Linked DNA regions of Rattus norvegicus. The protein of the gene in region 2 interacts with the protein of the main gene of each other region in a pairwise test. Links are inferred from orthologs where the notes say so. Each region holds a gene or a part of one and is shown on either strand. Other genes may lie near its edges.

What was found.
Region 1: the proteins of Padi4 (region 2) and Anxa4 interact in binary tests that used the Homo sapiens proteins (3 or more experiments, as listed by UniProt). The two-hybrid records come from large-scale screens. The link is inferred for Rattus norvegicus from reciprocal best matches to the Homo sapiens genes PADI4 and ANXA4.

The regions. Positions count from the first base shown.
Region 1 is NC_086022.1:120,794,398-120,800,597, forward strand, and holds the start of Anxa4 (annexin A4), read right to left. Parts: upstream 4,117-6,200; 5' UTR 4,070-4,116; exon of another isoform or gene 3,538-4,069; intron 1-3,537. UniProt on the Homo sapiens protein: Calcium/phospholipid-binding protein which promotes membrane fusion and is involved in exocytosis.
Region 2 is NC_086023.1:158,350,240-158,355,963, reverse strand, and holds part of Padi4 (protein-arginine deiminase type-4), read left to right. Parts: intron 1-1,209; exon of another isoform or gene 1,210-1,224; coding exon of another isoform or gene 1,225-1,397; intron 1,398-3,013; coding exon 3,014-3,194; intron 3,195-5,724. UniProt on the Homo sapiens protein: Catalyzes the citrullination/deimination of arginine residues of proteins such as histones, thereby playing a key role in histone code and regulation of stem cell maintenance.

The DNA.
Region 1 (6,200 bases), on a different chromosome or scaffold from region 2:
AGGTTTGAGGAAGCATTAGGAATCTTGTGTAGCCTTATCAGTACGATTCTGTGGAGCCTTTGCCCAGGCCTTCTCTGCAGTGAGAACTCTCAGCAGCTCCAACCCCTCTCTACGGGTCCCAAAAGCCACTTTTTCAAGTTCAACGAGAAAATATTCAATATCATAAGGAATTAATCATTCCCAAGCCCACATGCCAAGCTCTTTGAGAATTTAAGAGCCACTGATTCACCCCACCACCACCACCACCCCCTCACACTGCAGCTTCCCTTTTCTGGTCAAAAAGCTTCGGGTTTCTGTTGAGATAGGGGACTGCAGTGCAGGGGATTGAACCATTGGCCTTGTGATCTTAGGCAAACAATCTACCAACATTCCCACCCAGGCTCTAGTTGGGGCAACTATATTTCACTTGGCACCTAGCCAAGGAGAGCATTGATGCAGAAAAGGAAAAAACAGATAAGACTCAGTTAAGAAGCCAGGAATCCACTGCTCACTGTGAACCGAGGCCAGAGTCTCAGCTGAACTTGAGCCTCGCCTTACAAGCCCCAACCCACTGGAGGGCCAGCACTTGAAGCCTTGTTTCTTCACCTGTTCCAGGTCACAAGCCCATCTCAGGCTGAGGGGAATTAGAACAATGAGCCTAGGCTGACCACTACTCAAAGACACTATACGGAGTCCATTGAGGTGCCTGTTAAACTTCCTCCATGCTCTAACTGCAAGAGAGCAGTGGGGGCTGGAGAGATGGCTCAGTGGTTAAGAGAACTGACCGCCCTTCCAGAGGTCCTGAGTTCAAATCCCAGCAACCACATGGTGACACCATCTGTATTGGGATCTGATGCCCTCTTCTGGGTTGACCGAAGATAGCTATAGTGTATTCATATAAATAAAGTAAATAAATCTCTGAGAGAGAGAGAGAGAGAGAGAGAGAGAGAGAGAGAGAGAGAGAGAGAACAAACCACTAAGGGCTTGGTTTGGGGAAAATGGCAGCCCCAAACCCAAGCAACACTTTTTGAAAGCTTCCTACTTTAGATTTGAGAGGTTCATCATTTTGGTGACTGGAGATGTATCTCAGGTGGTAGAGTGCTTGCCTCGCCTGCACAAGGCCTCAGGTTGGATCCTCAGCCCTCCGTAAGCTTAGGTATGGTTGTGTATATCTATAATCCCAGCATTCAGGAGCAGAGACAATAGGGTCAGGAGTTCAAGTACAGCCTTGGCTACACTGAAAGTTTGAGGCCAGCCTGGGCTACATGTTAGACCCTATTTCAAAAATCAAAGATAAACTAAAGAATATAATTTGAGGGCTCACCCCCAAATTCTCTGACTGTTTAAATGTGAAACATGGTTTTAATCAAACAATTGGATGAGATTGGCACTTAAGGGAAATCTGCTTATTCACGCTGTAGCTTCCCTCACTCCTTGACATGTGACCCATCTCCAGTGCGCAGATCCTTACCTTGATCTCCCTTGGAGAGGAGCCTGTAACCATGCACGCAAGATCAGGAAAAGAAAGGAATGGCTAGTCACAAACAAAGCAATGTGTCCTGGGATGCAGGGATAGAGGACCAAAAAAGAGGCTCACCCTGTGGGTGCTGTTGGCTGGAGGGAGGACCAAGAGGCTTACCCTGTGAATACTGATGGGTGTCAGGCACAGACTGACCCTGAATGGTACTCTCCAGACTACTTTCACAGAAAAAGAAAATGGTCCCTGACCAAAGCAAAGACTCCAGTAGGAGGAAATCATTGCCTTTGCTGTAATAGCTGTGCGTCTCTAGTACCACTGGGTACTAGAGAAAATCAACAGAAACCTGATCTGACTGGCTTTGGCAAGATAGCCATCACTGAAGTCAGTGGCTCTCAGGTGGCCGTGGTTATCGCTTCCCAATCTAGCTCCCCAAGCTCTCTTGGTTGCTCTTTACAAAAGCATTTAGTTAATGACTTGTGTGTGTATGTGCGTGTGTGTGTGGGTCTGTGAGTGTGTGTGTGTGTGAGTGTGTGGGTCTGTGTGGGTCTGTGTGTGTGTGTGTCTGTGAGTGTGTGTGTGTGAGTGTGTGGGTAGGTGGGTGTGTTGTGGGTCTGTGAGTGTGTGTGTATGTGGGTCTGTGAGGGTGTATGTCTGTGTGTGTGTATGTGTGTGGGTCTGTGTGTGTGTGTGTGTGGGTCTGTGAGTGTGTGTGTGTGGGTCTGTGAGGGTGTGTGTGTGTATGTGTGTGGGTTTGTGGGTGTGTGTGTGTCTGTGTGTGTGGGGGGTCTGTGAGGGTGTGTGTCTGTGTGTGTGTATGTGTGTGGGTCTGTGGGTCTGTGTGTGGGTCTGTGAGGGTGTGTGTCTGTGTGTGTGTATGTGTGTGGGTCTGTGGGTCTGTGTGTGTGTGTGTCTGTGTGTGTGTATGTGTGTGTGTCTGTGTGTGGGTCTGTGAGGGTGTGTGTCTGTGTGTGTGGGGGGTCTCTGTGTGTGTGTGTGTGTCTGTGTGTCTGTGTGTCTGTGTGTGTGTGTTTGTGTGTGTGTTTTCTCCAAGTCCATAGTAGGTATCAGACACATGGGATCTGGAGCTTCAGGCAGTTGTGAGCCATCTGAAGTGGGTGCTAGGAATTCAAATGCAGTCCTCTGGGAGAGCAGCAAGAGCTCTTAACCACCCAGCCCTCCGGCCCCTACCTACCCTTATGTTGGTTTTGGGTTTTGTTGGTTCGTTCTTTCTTTTTTTGAAGGCCGGATTTCATGCAGTCCAGACTAGCCTCCAATATTACCCTGAACTACCAATTGCCCTGAAGAACTGGGATCCTATTCCTTTTAAATCTAAACAGGAAGCTTTCAGAAGGGTGTTGCTTGGGTTTGGTTGTCATTTTCCTCAAACTTTCCTCAAAAGCAAAGGTACACCTGGTTTATTTGGAGCCAAGGATAAAATGCAAGGCTTCTGGTATGCTAGGGGCACGCTGTCCAACTGAAGTATATGCCTGGTCCTCCTCATTCTTCTTTCCTCTGTTCCCTAGGGATTCACAGCCATTTGTAGAGTTACTTCCTGCCTAAGAAAGCAGGGTGTCTGGGAATGATGGGCAGCGGGATAGATAACAACCAGCCATCCTATCTACCCTTCCACCATCAGCTAAAGTGCCCAGTCTTTTTTTTTTTTTTTTTTTTTTTTTTTTGGTTCTTTTTTTTCGGAGCTGGGGACCGAACCCAGGGCCTTGCGCTTCCTAGGTAAGCGCTCTACCACTGAGCTAAATCCCCAGCCCCAAGTGCCCAGTCTTAACGAAAGGCGCAGTTGCTCAGGGCCCAGAGTGCTCCTCCATTCATACACTTGGGGTGCACACTGAGCCAGGAGAGTGTTAAGCTGCCAATTGTTTTAGGCACCGAAGTCCCCGAAGTCCCCGACTGGTCAAGGCACTGAGGACTGAGTTAGAAATTAGACACAGGCAGACACAGAATGAAAAACTTAAGAATAAGATGATTCCTGGGTGCCAGGCACTGCGCCAAGACCATTTGCTACAACCGTTTGCTACAAGAGGGGCGAGGAAGGACCTAAGAATAAGAGAAAGCAAACTTACTTGCAAAAAGAAAAGATAGCACAAGTCGTGCTGGAGTGAGCTTCAGAGAATGTTAACTCAGTGGCTTATCCTCAGTGTGGAGTCCCGGGGGCTTTGACTCAGCAAAGGACTGCAGGAGTGCTGTGCACGGTGCGGTGCGGCACTGCCTGTTCCTTCCCACATTTCCCAGGTGGCTGCTTCGGCCCGGACCTCACGTTTCCAGGGCGCGGCGCCAAGTGGCCCACAGAACCGCCTCTGGTCGCGGCACCTGGTCCCTGAGTCCAAGATCCCTAGCCACAGCTTAGGACACCCGGCGGGAGCCCAAGATTTCCAAGCCTGAGCCCAGGACCGGCAGCCCAGCCCAACATCCACGGGTTAAGTTCAGGTTTCCAGGCCCCAGCCTAGGAGCTGTAGCCGAGCCCAGGATTCCCCAAATAAAGTCTAGATCTCTAGGTCGGAGCCTAGGACACCCGCCTGGAATCTAAGACCCACACCCAGAGCCCAGAGCCCAGAGCTCGCAGCGGAGGTTTGGACCACTGCCTAAGCCCCTTACCTCTCCTGCGGAGACAGGCTGAGTCTACGACTGCGACCACACCCTCGTCCCGGCCAATAGGACCCGCCCCGTCTCGGGGTGGAGACTGAGCCCAAGTTCCTGGTTGTCCCTTTGCCCACGGGAAAGTCCCTCCCAAGCGAAGCGCAGCTGGAGGGGCAGGGGAATCGCCTCTCCGGCACCAGGAGACGCCTGAGGCAGATCACGCATTCGGCCTTCCACCCCACTAAGGACAGCGACCCCACAAAGGACCCTGAGACTGCACCGCCAAACCCCACTCAAGATTGACCCTTTTACAACCAAACTCCACTGTGGTTCTCGATCCCAAGGTCACGGGCTCAGGTCCTGCAGGGATCGCACATCGCACTCGGGGGCTCCAGCCAGGCGCCCAGGCCAGTCTAGAGTGTACTGGAAAAGCAGAACATGACATCCGAGGGTACATTTCATGTCCTTTTTTCACATTACCACATACGTTCCAGAAAATTCTTGGTAGTTCCATGCCTCCCTTAGAGAAGACAGATGCAATACAGGTCACCTTTGGGAAATGGGGTTAGGAACAACTCCCAGTTTCCCATTGAACTTCCCATTGAAGCATTGCTTGGTTGCTCGCCAGCCTGGTTCTGGCTGCTTGCTGGACACATGCGTCTCGCGGCAAGTACAATGACCGCTTGATGAGCAGAGGCAGGTGCAGGCAACAGAGGCTCTACAGGCAACCTCCAATTTCACTTAACAAAGAATGGGTCGCTGTGGGCAATGTTGGCTCTCCAGCCAACCAAAACCTATGTGGTCATTATTTTAAATTATATCAGTAACTGTAGCTAGAGGAGGTGGGTTACTGTGTGGTTAATAGCTGGAGGATCAGGAGGAGGAAGGCTGATCTAGACTTGTACCTATCCTTTCATGGTTGGAAGCCTAAATGTTTCTAAGCTACCACAAGGGGAGGAGACAAAATTAATCAAGGTAAAAGAAAGGACAAAATAACGACACTTTATTTCTGAAGATTGGAGACTGTTGCCTCCTTTTAAAAATAATTGGGTGCAGGAGAGGCAGAGTGGATAAGGGTTAGTGTCTAGCAATTGCAGTTAGCCTACAGCTAAGCTGATTTACATAGCAAGTGCAACCAGGCCACAGGCAACATATATGTATATATACTGTATATGTATGCAATTTATTTATTTCATGTGTATGGATTTGTCTTCATGTATGTCTGCATGCCAGCATAGGATCCCTTGACTGCTAAGAATTGAAGGCCCATCTTTTGGGAGAAGTCAGTGCCCAACCATCTCTCTAGTCCCCAACTGAGTCCTTTATGGGACACAAGAGGCCAGGACTCCATCTGGCCCAGGCTCATACGGGGTTTGGGATCTGGGATCAGGGGAGGGAGGAGCCTTGCCTCCTTCTGAGCTCCGACAGGTGACAGGTGACAGGTGACAGGTGACAGGTGACAGGCGACAGGCAACATATGACTTCTTCCAACACCCTGCAGGCTCTCCTAAGAATGCCCAGGAGAGCACTAACTACATCCTGTTTTACTTCTGGGGAACCTAATTTAACCCTGAGCATTAAAACAATTAATAGAGTTGTTCAACTTAAGGACTCAGAGAGGACTTCATACTAAAGAGATCAAAACGAGGCACCACCAGGCACACATGATGTACCCAAATATTTGCAGACAAAACACTCGGATACATAAAATAAAACAATATATATATTTTTTTATAAATAAGAAAAGAGTAGAGAGTGCTCTTCCAGAGGAGCGAGGTTCAATTCCCAGCACCAGTATGGTAGTTCCCAACCATCTTTAACTCCAGTTCCAAATGATCCAACAATCTCCTCTGGCCTCTGGGCATCAGGCATGCAAGTGGTGCACAGACATGCGAACATAAAGATAAAACACCCAAACACATTCTTGTAAAATACCCAAATAAATACATATATTTGTTAGATTTCAAACCCAGAACAAATGGCTGAGTTACTTAACATATCAATGCAGGTGCTGGCTGCCAGGCTCTCCTTGCATCACCCCCCCCCCCAGTCCCTACCTGTGTCAGGGCCCTCCTGGATGGCATACCTTAGGAGAGTCAGATCAGCAGCTTGGTTGGGAGAAGTTCCTTAGGGGGGGGTGCTGGGGGGG
Region 2 (5,724 bases):
GAGGAGAGGTGCAGGTTGTGCAGCTTGGGTGAAGCATTGGAAGAACTTCTGCCCTTCTCAAGGCCTGGGTTCCCCGTCTTTGCCTCGCCAGCACTGGGATTGCAAGCACACGCCCCCACGCTTAGCTTTAATACATAGGTTCTGGGGCTCAACCTCAAGTCCTGTGCCTTTCACATGGCCACAACCAGGATCTGACATAAACAAGTAAGTAAATAGACAGACAGATAATAAATAATTTTAACTTCCCCGCCCAGGCAGTGCTATGTGAACAAGCCGTTACGCCAGAGCTGCTGTTTGTGCAGCCCAGTAAGTCCAGGGACCGAGGCCTAAGCGCACGAGGGTGGGGACCAGGAAACAAGGCCCTCACTTGTGATCAGGGGACAAAGCAGAGGCCACCAGTAGTTTGAGATGATCTGGAGGTGGGGGACACTAAAAGGTGTCCACAATAGGACTCAGACCTACGCTGGGGGTTGAGTAAATGAATACTGTGAACTAGGCAAAGTATTGCTCCGTCTCTGCGCATGCGCAGACAGGGCCAGACCTTACGCTTAGTGGTGTTTTGAGTGAGTGGAACAAAGTTAATCACCTTAGACTCACCTTGGAGTGAAGGGGAGAGATATACTAAAAAACAAAACACTTGTCTGTTCATTCTCTTGCGGGTTTCCCAGGGCAGGCTCCAAACCATCCCTAACCTTTTCCCACAGTCCTCCAGGAAAAGTCCCTCTCTGCCCTCTTTGCTCCCGTAGGTAGCTCTGATCCTGGAGTGTGGTGTGGAGTCAAAAGATGGGTGTGAGGAAAAGAGGAAGGATGGGGAATGTTCCAGAAATCAGGCTCCTCCACACCTGCCGCGGAACCTTCCTCCTCCACTGGCCTCGCTGTGGCTGTCTTTGTCACTCCTCAACTCCCACTGACTTTCCATCACCCTTGTCCGAGTTTGGCTGACCCAAGCCGGCAGCTCCTCCCTGTCCCCACCTCCCAGCTTCTTCACCTCAGAGTCTCTTAGAAAGAAACCTGGACTCTTCCCCCTGTCCAGCAGGTCCTGTTGACTTTGAAATGAAACAATTCCAGTTGCCTCATAAAAATAATCATAATAAAATAAAATACAGGCTTTCTCAGCCACCGACTTTATGTGTGCCTCGCTGAGCCTGAGTTCCTGATCCCTTAGCTTCCGCTCAGTTGGGTAACTCAGCAGCCCCTATCAGTAGCTTCCTGGGTGTGGTTCTCATGCCTGAAGGTGCCCGGAGCACCCTGGAGACACGAGGAAGCTCAGACCTCTGGGCTCCTACCCATGGATACGCAGCAGCAGATCTGGGGAGTAAACCTTGGAAACCACCTCAGTTTCCAGGGAGGCTGAGGCTGCCGCCCCTGTGTCAAGGACCGCACCTTGGCTACAGCAGGTCTCTGGAGGGGTGTGTGTGTGTGTGTGTGTGTGTGTACGCATTCCAGAGGAGGGGGGAGAGAGGTGTCCTTGGAGACAATCCTTCTGCTATGTTCACTCGGCAATGCCCTCCCACCAGGTCCAGCCGCAGGTTGTTCTTCAGAGACAGGGTCCCAAGGGGACGGGAGATGAGAAAAACAAAGAGGGCAAAGCCGAGGCCAGAAGATCACACTCAAGCTGGTGGTTAATGCTAAGTGAGTTTATTAAGAAGTACGGCTTCTTCTATCCAGCTTACAGGGGAAAGGGGCAGAGTCAACAGAAGGCTGTCACGTAATGGGATGAGGTCAGCAGGAAGCTCTCGGAGCAGTGACGCACAAAGAGAACGTGGGACATCGAGAGTGCATTGCAGATTAAGCACATGGTAGCCTGGAGCCTCTAGATGGATAGCTCTGGTCTCTCAGGATAGATTCCCAGAAACTGAAACCTAAACTCTCTGGAGACCCTGCCCTCGTCCCAGACACACCTTCTTGCCAAGGCAAAGACTCAGGAAAAGACTCGGAACTAACCTTCCCTTTGCATCTCTGTCTCTGTCTCTGTCTCTGTCTCTGTCTCTCTCTGTCTCTCTGTCGTCTCTCTCTCTCATCTCTCTCTCTCTCTCTCTCTCTCTCTCTCTCTCTCTCTCTCTCTCTCTCTCTCTCTCTCCTCCTTCAAACGTTTCCCACCCCACACACCTCCCACATCCACAGACAGGGTTTCTCTGTCTTGGAGCTAGCTACCTCTGTAGACCAGGCTGGCCTCAAACTCAGAGATCCACCTGCCTCTGCCTCCGGAGTGCTAGCATTAATGGACTGCACCACCACAGCCCAACCCAACTCCTGTTGCATTTTAAAGTGTATCTCTCCCCTGATCCAGTTGCTTTGTATGAGGATGAGCCTGGAGAAGATCTGCTGTTCCTACGGGTGGTGGTGGTGGTGACGCCTTTAATCCCAACAGTTGAGGCAGAGGCAGGCAGATCTCTGTGAATTACAGGTCAGGTCAGCCTGGTCTACTGAGTGAGTTCCGGGCCCTGCCTGGCTACACAGAGACCCTGTCTGTGTCTGTCTGTGTCTGTCTGTGTCTGTCTCTCTCACACACGTACAGGCACACGCACGCACACACACACACACACACACACACACACACACACAAACACACACACACACACAGAGAACATTTGCTTTGCCAGAACTCCAGAAATCTGTGTGATTTTGTTTCAGTTGTTGTTATATTTGTGGGGTCTTTATTTGTGGGGGGAAGGGGTACTGCCATCTCTCTAGCCCCCTGTGTGTGATGCCCCTTGGCATGCCCACTGGTGATGGTCCCCTGTGTGCACACTGCTCTACGGGTGTGTGGAAGGTGCCTTTGACATCCACCTCCCTCTGCAGTCTCTCTGGTCCGAGTGTAAGGCCTCCAGTCAAGAGGACTGCCATTCTGTGCTCTCAGTCCCTCCTGGCAACGTTACCAGATTCACTCTCTGGCCAGGGCAAGCCCAGTGCTGGCCTGCATTTCCTCCTGCTGGGAAAAGGATGTCTGGGGCCAACATGGCGGTGGGCCATCTCATCATGGGTGCCTCAGCCTGCCTCTGTCGCTTCACAGCTCTGCTCCAAGGGGCTCCACGTCCTTCAGCATCACAGCCTCCCCAGAAGTTGTTGTAGATGTCATCCATGGTCCTCCATCCAAGAAGAGTACCACGGGGGCCTCCAAATGGCCTCTGGACCCCAAGCTGGAGGTGACCCTACAGATGAAAGCAGCCAGCAGTAGGATAGATGACCAGAAGGTGAGTATGGTGGGTGGGGTGGGATGGGGCCTGGTGGGTGGGGTGAAACCGAAAGCTGGGGTGGGGGTGGGGCTGCATCCCCTTGAACATTCCGCAGTGTGTCCCCTCAGACTCTTCTCAGTGTGTCCCCTCAGACTCTTCTCAGTGTGGTGTCCCCCTCAGACTCTCCTCAGTGTGTCCTCTCAGACTCTCCTCAGTGTGTTCCCCTCAGACCCTCAATGTGTCCCCTCAGACTCTCCTCAGTGTGTCCCCTCAGACTCTCCTCAGTGTATCCCCTCAGACTCTCCTCAGTGTATCCCCTTAGAATCTCCTCAGTGTGTCCCCTCAGACCCTCAATGTGTCCCCTCAGACTCTCCTCAGTGTATCCCCTCAGACTCTTCTCAGTGTGTCCCTTCAGACTCTCCTCAGTGTGTCCCCTCAGACTCTCCTCAGTGTGTCCCCTCAGACTCTCCTCAGTGTGTCCCCTCAGACACTCCTCAGTATGTTCCTTTAGACACTCCTTAGTGTGTCCCCTCAGCATGTCACCGCAGGCTCCTTTCCTTGTACCTCTTTGGCTTCTTTTGGTGTCTCCAGCTCATGTCACTTAAGCTTCTGGCTCCCAATGCCTCACCTCCCCGGCAGCTGAGTCAATCAGACACCCCTCTCTAGGTTTCTAGTTACTTATTTATTTCAATTATTGCTGGGCAGAGGGACTGAATGAGCCCAGAGCTTCACATCCTATATCTCTGAGGTACACCTGACTCCCCCAACTCCCTTCCCCAGCCTGCACAGAGAGCTCATGCTATACAGCTGAGGGCCTGCTCCTGGGTCCCCGAGAGACAACTCGAAGTCCAGCTCCACGGCTATCACCTGCTCTTTCTTCCTCCTAATGCCTCTTGTACCCCATTTCCAGCTGTTAAGCCCCTGCCCCCTTCCAAGAATGTCTCAAGATACAACTTGTTAGCGTTACTGTTGCTGTGATGAACCATCGTGACCAAAAGCACATTGTGGAGGAAAGGGTCTGTTTGGCTTCCATTTCCATGTTGCTGTTCATCATGGAAGGAAGTCAGGACAGGAACTCACACAGGGTGGGGACCTGGAGGCAGGAACTGATACAGAGTCATGGAGGGATGCTGCTTACTGGCTTGCTCCTCACGGCTCCTCAGCCTGCTTTCTTATAGAACCCAGGACCCCTAGCCCAGGGATGGCACCACCTGAAAGATCCCACGCAAAGAGACCCTTACTCAAGTCTTGGGAAATCGCAGACCCCAGACACAGAGAGACCATTTTGGATATAATAAACAAAGGCGAGGTTTATTACGGAGACCTATTACAGAGATCTCCGGGCCGACACGTATCCCGCGCAGGAGACAGAGGTGTCGGCCCCGAGAGGCTGGGAAAAAGAGTATTTAAAGGCAGAGGCTGTGAGCACCAGGGGATGGGGTATGTCAAAGGGGAATGTACCACAAGTTACAAGATTGTTTTATGGCTCCAGGAGATAAGGGGACGCCAGAAGGTTTTATGGCCCCCTGGTTCCTGGAACAGAGCTACTAAATCAGGAGAAGGGTAGGGTCTTCAGGTCTTCATTATTTTTAAACGTTTGTCAAAACTGATGGAGCATTTGTATTTGAAACACCTCTGGTTAGGCTTGGGCTGCCCGGTTTCTTGGAGTGCTCTCTGCAGGACACAATGGCTGAAAAGCACAAGTAGGGGCTTATCAGGGTCTGGAGGACATCTGGTTAAAGTATGACTCTGAGTAAGCTGGGGGGACGTCTTTGGATGGTTTATGGGTCAGTCCTCGATAGCCTGAGCTGGATCCTGCATTCCTTTTCTTTATCTTTATGGCCTGCTATTCCTGGCGGCAGGGCTTAGCCCTGAGTTTGTGGCTTTTGGGGCTAACTCTTTTAATTTTATATTTCTAAACCTAGAATTTGTATAATTTTCTTTTCATTCCCGTCTTCTCCTACTAAATAATTCTAATCTTAGAATTTTGATATCAAGTCTTATTTGGTCTCACCAGTTGTCCTAACTGACTGGTACTGTTGTCTCACAACCATCAACCGCACAGCACCCACTCAATTTTTAACAAAAGCAATTAACCTGTTTGTCACGCAGGAGCCAAAGACTAAAACCAAGAAAATTATTAATAATGGCCCAGCTGTAGCAGAGAGTAGGGTAGTCATCTAGGGAGATCTACTAAACTAGCTCTCGAACCATCTCTGATGTGTTTTTCTGTCTGTCTTTTGTCTAACCTTTTTCTAAGTTTATTTATGGAGTCTTTAATTACTCCTGAATGGTCTGTATAGAAGCAACATTCTTTCAGTGTAGCACACAGACTCCTTCTTTAAGGAATATCAGGTCTAATCTTTTCTTATTTTGAAGGACTACCTCTGAGAGGGAGGTTAGGTATTCTTGGAGGTCAGCTAAAAAGTCTTTAGCATCAGGATTTTATCTGGACACTATCTAAACCTATATACCAAGGTCATGACTGTCTTTCAGAACTTCTAAACTTATATAGGTTGTGATCCCTGAGGCACAGTCCCAAGAAGTG